Linked DNA regions of Danio rerio. The protein of the gene in region 3 interacts with the protein of the main gene of each other region in a pairwise test. Links are inferred from orthologs where the notes say so. Each region holds a gene or a part of one and is shown on either strand. Other genes may lie near its edges.

Region 1 (3,660 bases), on a different chromosome or scaffold from region 3:
TTTTGTTTTAAATTAAGATTTAAAGATCATTTGACAGCTAAATAACTGAATAAACTATTCATGTTTGATTTATTAGGATAGGACAATATTTAGTAGAGATAGAAATATTTGAAAATAAGGCATTTTAATATATATTAATATATGCCAAAATCTATTAACTAAGTATTAAATTAATCACCATATATATATATATATATATATATATATATATATATATATATATATATATATATATATATATATATATATATATATATATATATATATATATATATATATATATATATATATATATATATATTAAAAAAAAAAAAATATATATATATATATATATATATATATATATATATATATATATATATATATATATATATATATATATATATATATATATATATATATATATATTTCTGGAGGATTGTGTGACTTTGAAGACTATAATAATGCTGAAATTTCACCTATGCCATCACATGAATAAATACAAAAATAAAACTACATACTAAAATAATTTCAGAAAGAAAAGTGTATTTTAAAAAATATTATTTCCCAATATTTATATTTTTAGTTAACTGTGATCAAATATTATATGCCCAGCCTTGTTGAACACAACATTTTTTAAAGCATTTTTAAAACCCCAAATTTTTGAATGGTAGCATACTCTATACTTACTAATATTTTCTTTAGGATGTGAAAATGGTATTTTACAAAACTAGATACATACATATTGCCTAATATTTGGAAAAGTCTTTCAATAAATTGCAATAAAAAGCCATGTAGATGGCACACTAGGTTTTGGAACAAAATCAAATTTATGTGTGTCTTTTAACTACACTAATGAAAACAAAGCAAATATCTAGATGCTAAATCATGCAAATAAAGCAGGCTGTTTCAAAGTGTAATTAACGTTCGAACTATTCTTGAAGTCTACACACAGGAGCAATGCTTAAAAGCTTCAGTAAACACATGTGGAGACTGCATCAAGTCTGGACCTGGCTGTGCATGGTGTAAAGAGTTGGTAAGTACAGTTAATGGTTCTATTTTTAATACTGCTGAAATGCATTTTCATTGGTGAATCTGCCCTCATAAAATGACTGACTGTTTAATGACAGTTTAAATTTATGAATATATTTAATGCTGATTTATTATATAGCATGATGTCTAGCCACTTTACAGCTTACTGTCCAAATATAATGCATTAAGATGATACATAAAGTGGGCAGTTTGTTATTGCATTCACCTAGTACCTAGTTGGACCCCCTTTTGCCTTCAGAACTGTCTTAATCCTCATGCAGTTGCTTCTGATTTATTGGCTGCACATGCATGATGCGAATCCCATTCCACCACAACCCAAAGGTGCTCTATTGGATTGAGGATCTGGTGACTGTGGAGACCATTTGAGTAAAGTGAACTCATTGTTATGTTCAAAAAAACAGTCTGAGATGATTCATACTTTATGACATGGCACGTTATCTTGCTGGGAGTAGTCATCAGATGATGGGTACACTGTGGTCATAAAGGGATGGACATGGTCAACAACAATACAGTGACACAATGCTCAAATGGTACTAATGGGCCCAATGTGTGCTAAGAAAATCCCCCACATCATTACACAGCCATAACCAGCCTGATCCGGTGATAGAAGGCAGGATGGATCCATGCTTTCATGTTGTTGACGCCCAATTCTGATAAGAAATTTGTATTAATGAGCAGTAGGACAGGTGTCCCTAATAAAGTGGCCGGTGAGTGTATTTAGAATGAGCTGAAACAACAACTCTTGATATTATTTGGGACAACTTAATTGTTTTATAGGTTGTTGCTAGATCGGATATGGTTGCTGAAAATTTAACAATTATATATATTTTTTATTAAATTTCCCATTTATTGTATTTTATTAACCTTTACCCCCACCCCAACCCTAAACCCAACTATCACAGTAATGTAAAAACAGTAGCTGCATTTAAATGAGCTGAAAATATAATGACTGGCTGGCATGTCACTCCCTTCTACTTTCTGCGTTTTTCAAACCACAGAATTTCACCAAGACTGGAGAGCAGGAAGCAGCACGTTGTGACACTGTCAAGTTGCTTTTAGACAGAGGATGTAGCAAAGAGAACATCATAAATCCTCAAAACATTTTTCAAAATGTTGTGAACAAAGCTCTGGTTGCTGGTAAAGACCCAGTGCAAATCCAACCCCAAGAAATACAACTCAATCTTAGACCAGGTATTTTATATCCATATAAATCAACAATATCTCAAACAAACCAGTGGCCTTTACAATATACTGTATGTTTGGACATGGTAATGACTGCTTTTTTTTCTCTCAGGGATGCCCCAAACTTTTCAACTACGTTTTAAAAGGGCAGAAGGTTATCCTGTAGATCTTTACTACCTGATGGATCTGTCATACTCTATGAAAGACGATTTGGCGAATGTAAAAAACCTGGGAAATGATATACTTGAAAAGCTCAATAGAATCACTGGCAATGCCAGAATAGGTAAGAGCATATGCATATATTGGTAACACTTTACTTAAAAAAGATGACAATGTTTGAGATGTGTTTGTTATGACAATTTGATAAACAAATACATTATAACTGACATTTCCAAGACAACAATCTATCAGTGTCTTTGTCATGACAACTTGCATTACCAAGTCAACATAACTTGTCATATATTAGTCTTGTCATACGGCCATTATAATTGTCATTAATATTTTTCTGTTGAAATATTTCAGTGGATTTTTTTTGCTTGCCATTACATTCAAAATTAAAAGTGTCAATACTCTGTCAAATAATTTTATAACATTGTTATTAATATCTAATGACATTTAATTACATTTGAATGACAAATTCAATTTGTACCACTGTAGTTAATTGCAGTTTCAAAATTAATGACAATTCTAATGGCCTCATGACAATTTAAATTACAGTATGACAGATTTACGACAAGTTTTGTTGTCTTGGTAATGTCAAGTTGTCATGACAAAGACAGGTTGTGATGTGTTTGGTTATGTCAAGTTGTCATAACAAGAACATTTGATTCTTACCTTTACATTTAAAATGACATAACTAAGCAAACGACACCTAATGACAGCTGTCATAAGCATGCATGGAATGTCCTTCATATTCATGATGTGATATAAAGGTTTCATGACAGTCTTATGAACACCCCCTTTAAGTAAAGTGCTCCCAATATATTATATTGCACATTTTGGAGTTGCACTTTGAAAAGTTGCAATGGCTTCATTAACCAACCTTTCCTAATACAGGATTCGGTTCGTTTGTTGACAAAACACTTCTTCCATACACCGACACCAATGAAGCCAAACTTAAACACCCCTGCTCGGATAAAAATGAACCATGTCAGCCAGCATTTGGCTTTCAGCACGTGCTTCCACTCACAGCAAATGGGAACGACTTCAAAGAATTGGTAAAGCAGCAGCATATATCTGGAAACCTGGACCCTCCAGAGGGAAGCCTGGATGCCATCATGCAAGCTGCCGTCTGCCTGGTGAGACACATTTTTGACAGACATTTTAACAGGTTACATTATCCATATTATGTGCTTAAGAGTTGTTTATAAATCATGTAAACAATGTTTTTGTGCTTCGTTGTACACAATGCAAAGAAACAATAGTTTACAGTGGGGGAAGTAAGTA
Region 2 (4,423 bases), on a different chromosome or scaffold from region 3:
TGACAATATGGCACACCTCATGTTTCCTGGACCAGTTTGATGTTCAAAGAGTTACAGCCCACAATGTTTTTTTTTTTTTTTTTTTACAGTTTTAATTATTTTTCTTACATTTCGACAGCCAAATCTCTGAAGTTGTCTCCGTCTACAATTCCTTTCAGTCACAAAGGTGCTTTCTTTCTTACTCTGTTCCTTTCTATCTGTTTCTTTGTTGATCATTTGTTTGTTTGCACTGCAAAAAATGCTTTTCTTGCTTAGATTTTTTGTCTTATCTCTAGTCTAAATATCTAAAATTTCTTATATCAAGAAGCATTTTCTAGACAAGCAAAACAAATTGTCTTGTTTTGAGAAATAAAATGCCAATATTAAGTGAGTTTTTCCGTAAAACAAGCAAAATAATCTGCCAATGGGGTAAGCAAATTAATCTTGTTTTTTCTTTTGACGTAAGATTATTTTGCTTACCCCATTGGCAGATTATTTTGCTTGTTTTACGGAAAAACTCACTTAATATTGGCATTTTATTTCTCAAAACAAGACAGTATGTTTTGCTTGTCTATAAAATTCTTCTTGATTTAGGAATTGTTAGATATTTCGACTAGAAACAAGACAATAAATCCAAGTAAGAAAAGCATTTTTTTGCAGTGTGATTGTTTGTTTGTTTGTTTGGAGGTACAGATGTATGGATTTGCCCATGTGCTGTTGTACTCCAAAGATGTTGATCTACAGCAAGGTTTTTAGCCCACTGTTTGTTTTTTTGTTTTTTGTTTTTTTGTGCCATGTTTAGCTTGTATTTCTCCATTCAGAAGATCCTGAGCCTTTGTCAGGAATGTGCTGGAGTATGTAAACGTGTTAACATCTCTGAGAAGTCTGCATGTGACACAGAGGTGACTATTTTACACAGAAATGACTAGGAATATAATAAATGGCAGAAAAAGGGCCAAACTACATTCTTTACAAACAAGTGTGTTCATGACTATACATAAAAAGCAGAAAGACTTAGAGTGGAGAGCAAAATTATTATCCCACCTGTGAAATATTATTATTATTATTATTATTATTATTTTATTATTTCTCAAGTGATATCAGATTAAGAACATTTTGTCCTGTAATATTTTTTCTTTTGTAGAAAGTTTGGTATTATTTCGGCTGGAAAAAAAGTTTATTTTTTAAAACATATAAGGTCAGTATTATAAGTCCTCTTATTTTTTTTTCCCTGTTAGCTACAGAACAAGGAATCATGAGACCAGAAGCCTCAAGCCAAAATGATTCCAATGGCTGTGCCCACTCATACTTGAATTCAATTCAGTTCAATTCATTTTTATTTCCATAGCATTTTTACAGTGTAGATTGTGTCAAAACAGCTTAAAGTAAGTTTCAAGAGTTCACACTTAGCTTATGATTGATACAATGACATTAAGGGCATATAGCAAATGAGTGCAAAGTAAACCAGAGTTGTGCAGATAAAAAAAACAGACTCAGTTGGGCACGACCATTGCGATTTCTCCGCTGGCCAAACGTCTTGTACAGAGCTGCAGTCTCAGGCCCCGTTTACACTAGTGCGTTTTAGTTTTAAAACGGCGTTTTAGAATGAAAACGATCCGCGTCCACACTCGCGTTTTACCCAGGGTTTCTGAACTGCTCTCCGTCCACACCAAAACGCTGAAAACGCACATCACGTGACCACATACTCTCTTGGGCAAGCGCTGCAGCCCATCTACCCAGATGAGAGCTGTGCTAGTCGGACTTCTTATCAAGCATCTCCCGCTGGATCTAATCTCATATTTATTAAACGTGATATTTCATTCATCTTGTTGTCTTTATCTAACAACATATTCCCTGACTTTGGGCATTGGAATCTATTACTTGTTCACAGGTAACGTGTTTTGGCTGACCGCAAAGATAAGTTAATGATTAATGTAACCACGTAGCCTATTCTGTATATTGACTGATCGCTTGCCTTTATTTCCTATAATGTATAAACTTAATAATGGCCATTATCGATTAGTAAAACTGATATTCAGCAAAAGAGAGGGTGTGTTTCATATTTTCACTGAAATTTAAAGGAGGCAGTTGTTATAGGCTCTGTTTTGTTATAAACATACACACAGTGAAGATGACGCTGATATTATGCCGCACGGCGCCTCAACATTTCTGCTGTCTGTTAAGTTGCTAATATTAAAATGAAGATAGACAGTTTAATCATGTTTACGTTTTATTGTTGAGAAAGTGAAACAACGTAGCCAGGGTGAATGAAGTTATAAAGTACACTGTTCCCTTTGAATATTTACCCGTGTCCTCGGTATAGTCTGTTTTCCATATCAAACTGAGAAGAAGAGACTGCAGCCTTGATCAAACTTGCGAAGTCTGAATTTACAAGGAGAGGATGCAGGACTGAACTGTGTGTGTTAGGCTACTTAATATTCAGGAAAAGCCCCAATCAGAGAGGCGAATGTCTGCAGCCCCGCCTCCGTTTTCAGATGTCTCCGTTTTCCATCATCCACACTGAGACGGAGCAGCAGCGTTTCAGAATGAAAACGGCCTCTCTAGCGTTTTCGAAACGCTCCGTTTTCGGCGCTCGAGAACGCCGGCGTAGTGTGGACGGTTGGCGTAACCGTAGCAAAACTTATGCGTTTTCAAACTAAAACGCATTAGTGTAAACGGGGCCTCAGCAGCGGAGGCTGGAAGCTGGCCTCAGCGTAGACTCGTTTGTCCCTGGAGCGTCACAGGAATCAGTCTAATGCTCTTCACTCCTCCATGACCACCACAGTAGCTGCTCAGGATACGGCCTGGTCCAGGATATGGAAACCTTGGGAGCATCTCGTCGCTGGTCTTGGGTTGAATCAATGACTCTGCATGGTCTGAGGGCCTAGGGATGAGTATCTCCAGGTGGAAATGGAGAATAATTAGCATAGCTGTTGTTCATAGTGTATGTAAACAAGATGCAGAAACCTGTGTGGAAACCTGCTAAGTGTATGCTTTACTAAACAGATAGGTCTTTAATCTAGTTTTGAGTTATCAGGACGGCTATTCCAGAGTTTAGGAGCCATAAATGAGAAGGCTCAACCTCCTTTACTTGACTTTGCTATTCTAGGTTCTACCAGAAGCCCTGAGTTTTGAAATCTTAAAGAGCGAGTTAAAGTTAGTTAGTTAAATAAACAGGAGCTAGATTATTTAAAGCTTTATTGGTAAGAAGCAATATTTTAAATGCAATACGAATCTTAACAGGCAGCCAGTGTAAGGAGGATAAAATTGGGGTGATATGACAAAACTCATCCTGCATGTTTGTTCTCAGACTACTGCAAATTCACAAGAGCTCAAAGCTTAAAAAGGAAACTGGCAGATGTCTTTAGTTCCTGACATTCACGTGATGTGGCTATATCCGCTGTAGACTGCAGTTGTGCGAATTCACACTGATGCCTGCAGTTGTGTGCAGCGCTTCTGTGAATGAGGCATGATGACATCCAATAGGAACTTTAAAATGCCTTTAAAACAGATGAGCAGCCTGGACAGCTACATAATCGACAGCTCTCAAAAGAAGAGAAGCATACTGTGGCGACAGCGCTCTTTCAGCAGTCCCAAAAATCTGAACACTGAAGGGATGAAAGGCAGGACATTGTCACAGAGTCAGGTGGGATGAACTAAATGCTATGTATTCTTAATAGTTACGTTCATGACAACATGAATGCAGCAAGTTTTGAATTATAATTAAAAAATGTCGTTCTTAATTAATTTTGTACAGATGTTTGGGAATTTTTTTAGAATTTTTAGATGGTTTAGATCAGGGGTGTCCAAAATCAGCCCTGGAGGGTTGGTGTCCTGCAGATTTTAGCTCCAACTTGCCTCAACACACCTGCAAGAATGTCTAGAAAGCCTAGTAAGAGCTTGATTAGCTAGCCCGGGTATGTCTGATAGTGTGTCTAGCACTAAACTTTGCAGGACACCGGGCCTTCAGGACCGAGTTTGGGCAACCCTGGTTTAAATCACTGAATTGTAAACTAGTACTGCAGATTGAATTAATCTGGGATTTGTTTTCATTTTCAGTTGGCCAGAACACACTCAAATTCACTGGTGGATTATACTGATCCTCAGAGGTAATGATACACTTCGTTATGAATGTCTGATGGTAAACTGAACTGAACTTCTACAGTGACATTTGCATGAAACTGAACTGAATCAAGTAGAACTACACCAGCAATCAACAACTACTTTCCTGTTTGCCTTGTCACGCTTTATTTTGATGGTTCATTTGTTGAATTTAAGTAACATTGCATCTGCAAACTAATTCTTAACAGATTATAAGTAGACTGTTAGGTTGGGGTTAGTGTTGACATGTACTTGCAAAGTTTCTTACAGTCATTTAAATGTCTGTTTAGCTTCAGATATTAAGCAGACAGTCTACTAACAAATGAACCATCAAAATAAAGTG
Region 3 (3,660 bases):
GAATGACTTGAGTCTGTGTGGCAGCAGCATACTGTATGTTATCATAACAAAACTGTAAGTTTTATTTGAAGTGTAAAGAGTAGTGACGTTTCTACTTTCCTACAAAGAAATACTGTACATTTATCAGCAGCAAAACTATTGATTAAGGTGCGGAGAAACACAGAACAGCAGCAAGAGAACATGCTTTCTATAGAAAATAAAACAATTCTGAGGGCCAAACAATGAAATGGGTTGCCTTTTTATAATGTTGTTTGATCAATTTATTTGCTTGGTCAGCTTCTTTGTGGAACCTTTGAAAGTTCACAAATCCCTCAGAGTAGTGATATGGAACTGTGATGTGGTCAAAACTTGCCTGGAACTACTTTATATGAAAAGAACTTTACACATCAGTATGTTCATCAACCAATCAGAATCATTCATTCAAAACCCCCATAGTTTAATATGACAATTACAATCTGTCATTTTTTCTCTCTCAACAATGCAGTTTTGACTTGCTGCCGCTAACAGTAAATACTTGCAGAATGTTGCGTTTTGGGTTAAGCTGCTCCTTTAGTTTTAGTGCAATCATGCACATCTATAATTACACTGATGGAGGAAAATTAATCCTGTATACCTTTCCTTCCTGCTCTGACAGCTCCCTGATGGCCTGGCACTGACATTGAGTTTCAGTCCATCAATAAAGTGTAAGCTGACCCTTAATGCGAAACACAGCACTTTCATATGGGCACAGGCCATTGTGATGAACTAGATAATGGCCTTTGACAGACTGTAGTGTATCAGAGTGGAACGGCTTATGATCAGTGATGTCATTCTCCCTCGAGCTCTGATTCTGGAAATAGCAGATTTAGCTCTTTAAAATGGACAAGATCTGTTTAACTTACATGAACATGGTAATGTTTGATAGAAAGCAAGATCACTGACTTATTGCTTTCTTTTTTTCTGTACAAATAATGTTTTATTTTATAGTGAAATAATTATTGTCGTATAATAGTACAAATATATATTATCTTAAAATACTTAATAAATAAAATATGCAATGTTATATTGAGCATTTACAAGTTTGTGTGTGTAATTTAAATTAAATATAAAATGTTAATTCATATGCATATAGATAAATATATATATATATATATATAAATATATATAAATATATATATATATATATATATATATATATATATATATATATATATATATATATATATATATATATAAAATATATATATATATATAAATATATATATATATATATATATATATATATATATATATATATATATATATATATATATATATATATATATATATATATATATAATTTATTTTATACATCGGATTAACCCAAACATTTCAGACTATTGCAAAAAATTAAAAGTTGAAATTAGTACTCTGTTTCACTGTATGTGGGAGTGTGGAGAGCTGCAGTTGTTTTGGAAGGAGGTACATAGTGTGGTCTGTAAAATGTGTGAAATGGTTGAAGAATATGTTCCTTTGCAACCTAAACTTTGTTCATTACATATATATCCTGAAAAGGTGGCAGTATATGCAAACCAAAATATTCATATATATGAATTAATTATTTATGATTAATTAATTAATTCATAACGAATTAACTATTTGTAGCCTACCGTTTCTTCTATACCTGACCCGCACGGTCTTTGTTTTATACATAACCAAATCATACATAAATAAAGATAAGTTACACACAAATTAATACCTGCCATTTATTTTTTCCGCCAGACCCTGGCATTAATAGGTAGAGTGATCTGTGTTGTTATAATGGCGTCCACAAACTTTGTTGGTAAAAAAAGGTCCACAACCAACAAAAACCAACCAACAGCATATGAGGTTTTCACTAAAATTACTAAGTACAAGAGTGAAAGCGAAAGACACGTTACCTGATTGAGTCCTTACATAGAGACTAGATTAATTAAAAATAGATTTATTTCATAATAACTAGGTGAATTGCCAGTGTGGTATTATGATATACAGTACATAGTATATACATAACTACACTGAAATTAATCCAATGCTGAAAAACCAGTTGCTTCTAAATATTTTAGGGGAAAGCGTTTTTTTTAGTTCCTCTGATGAATATAAAGTTCAAAAGAACAGCATTTCTTTGAAACCTTTTCTTTTTTACATTTTTAGTGTCTTCACTGCCACTTTTGATCAATTGAACTTGTCCTTGTTGTATCTAAAATGTATATTTATGATTATCTATCTGGTCAAAATGAGAAAATTCTTTTGTTTTTAGCTAAATAAACAAAAAATATATAATAATTTTAAATAAATTAAATATACTATTATGATTAAATGAAAACAAACTTTTTCCAAACCACTTATTCTGTCATCTTCCAAACTTTGCATGCTGCTTTCTGTTGGCCAATCACATAAGAGCAAGGAGCTTGAGAGTCACACAGAGGCGTTGTTAGGCTACGTGTAAAACAAGACAAAAATAAATGAGGGCTCAGCCGATGTAGCACTATGGAGCAAAGGTGCGTTTATTTACAGTGCAAAAGTGTCTAATCCAAAAAATCCCCAAAATAAAGTAGACAAAATATATGTACAAAAATAAACAAACAACAACAAAAAAATAAATAAATAAAGACAATAAAGTAAAAAATTAAATATTTATATTTAAATATATGTATCTATTTATAGTGACCAACTCCGCCCACTATGGCTTCAACCATTTGCAGGTTTACATGTAACATATTAGACTAACACTGATTCAAGAAAGGAAGAAGCTGGTTATCCTTCATGTTCTGAACCCATTTATTAATATTTTATCAGCCCTTATAATTTACGAGCATCAGAAGGACTCATTCCTACCTTTCACCCAGATAATCTCCGATGGCGGTCTTGTTGAGCCCTTCACCCTTGTAGAGGAATTGAGCAATATCTTCACAAGTGTTTTTCAGCAACTCGTTCTCGATGAGGAACTGAATCCCCTGAGAAAACACAACATTCAGCATTAATGTCTTCCTACATGCATGTATTATAACTTCAGTTTCAGGTTGGTGATATTCTTGCTCTCTCCCAGCTCTTAAAAATGAAACCCATGAGGTTGGAAAAATGGAAATAAACTGGGAAAAGTGTGGTTGTGTGATGCTTAGCGACAAAGCTTGTGGGTTTATGCTAATTTGTGAACCCATAAAAGATCACAGGCTTAAAAATGCAAAATGCCAATGGATGTTATGTAATGGGAATCATTTGATTTGCCATAAGCATATCAGGGAGTCTTCATGATTTAGAAAACCTGCTTTTTATATTGCAACCTAATGCTTGTTTACCTTTTTGGGATCCATGTTAAATTTCTTGCGGCCCATAGCCATCTGCTTACTCCGCTGCATGTTTATTCTGAAAACACAGATAGAGAAGAGGGCTTTATTAATGCTGGGGAGGTTTGTTTAAAAAAAAATTGCAATCTAAAACTTGAGGAGCAGAGTTGCACAACACTGAGCTGCACAATTCGGAAAATAGTGTGAGGATCACATTTTTGGGGGTTAAAATAGAGATCATGATTCCCCACAGAATTCACAATAGAGAACCGAAAGGGATAGTTCTGGCAAGTATGAAATATTTCTTACTTTTTTTTTTTTACATTTTTAATGTCCTGATGCCACTTTCCATTAATTGAACAAGTCCTTGTTGAAT

Evidence for each region.
Region 1: the proteins of cyth1b (region 3) and itgb2 interact in a two-hybrid assay, tested with the Homo sapiens proteins (2 studies listed by BioGRID). The link is inferred for Danio rerio from reciprocal best matches to the Homo sapiens genes CYTH1 and ITGB2.
Region 2: the proteins of cyth1b (region 3) and cytip interact in binary tests that used the Homo sapiens proteins (3 or more experiments, as listed by UniProt). The link is inferred for Danio rerio from reciprocal best matches to the Homo sapiens genes CYTH1 and CYTIP.

Annotation. Positions count from the first base shown.
Region 1 is NC_133184.1:46,774,076-46,777,735, reverse strand, and holds part of itgb2 (integrin beta-2), read left to right. Parts: intron 1-923; coding exon 924-1,015; intron 1,016-2,030; coding exon 2,031-2,223; intron 2,224-2,326; coding exon 2,327-2,497; intron 2,498-3,270; coding exon 3,271-3,512; intron 3,513-3,660.
Region 2 is NC_133184.1:5,283,699-5,288,121, reverse strand, and holds the start of cytip (cytohesin-interacting protein), read left to right. Parts: upstream 1-1,478; 5' UTR 1,479-3,448; coding exon 3,449-3,625; intron 3,626-4,038; coding exon 4,039-4,088; intron 4,089-4,423. UniProt on the Homo sapiens protein: By its binding to cytohesin-1 (CYTH1), it modifies activation of ARFs by CYTH1 and its precise function may be to sequester CYTH1 in the cytoplasm.
Region 3 is NC_133187.1:36,080,121-36,083,780, reverse strand, and holds part of cyth1b (cytohesin-1b), read right to left. Parts: intron 3,364-3,660; coding exon 3,297-3,363; intron 2,955-3,296; coding exon 2,836-2,954; intron 1-2,835. UniProt on the Homo sapiens protein: Promotes guanine-nucleotide exchange on ARF1, ARF5 and ARF6. Promotes the activation of ARF factors through replacement of GDP with GTP.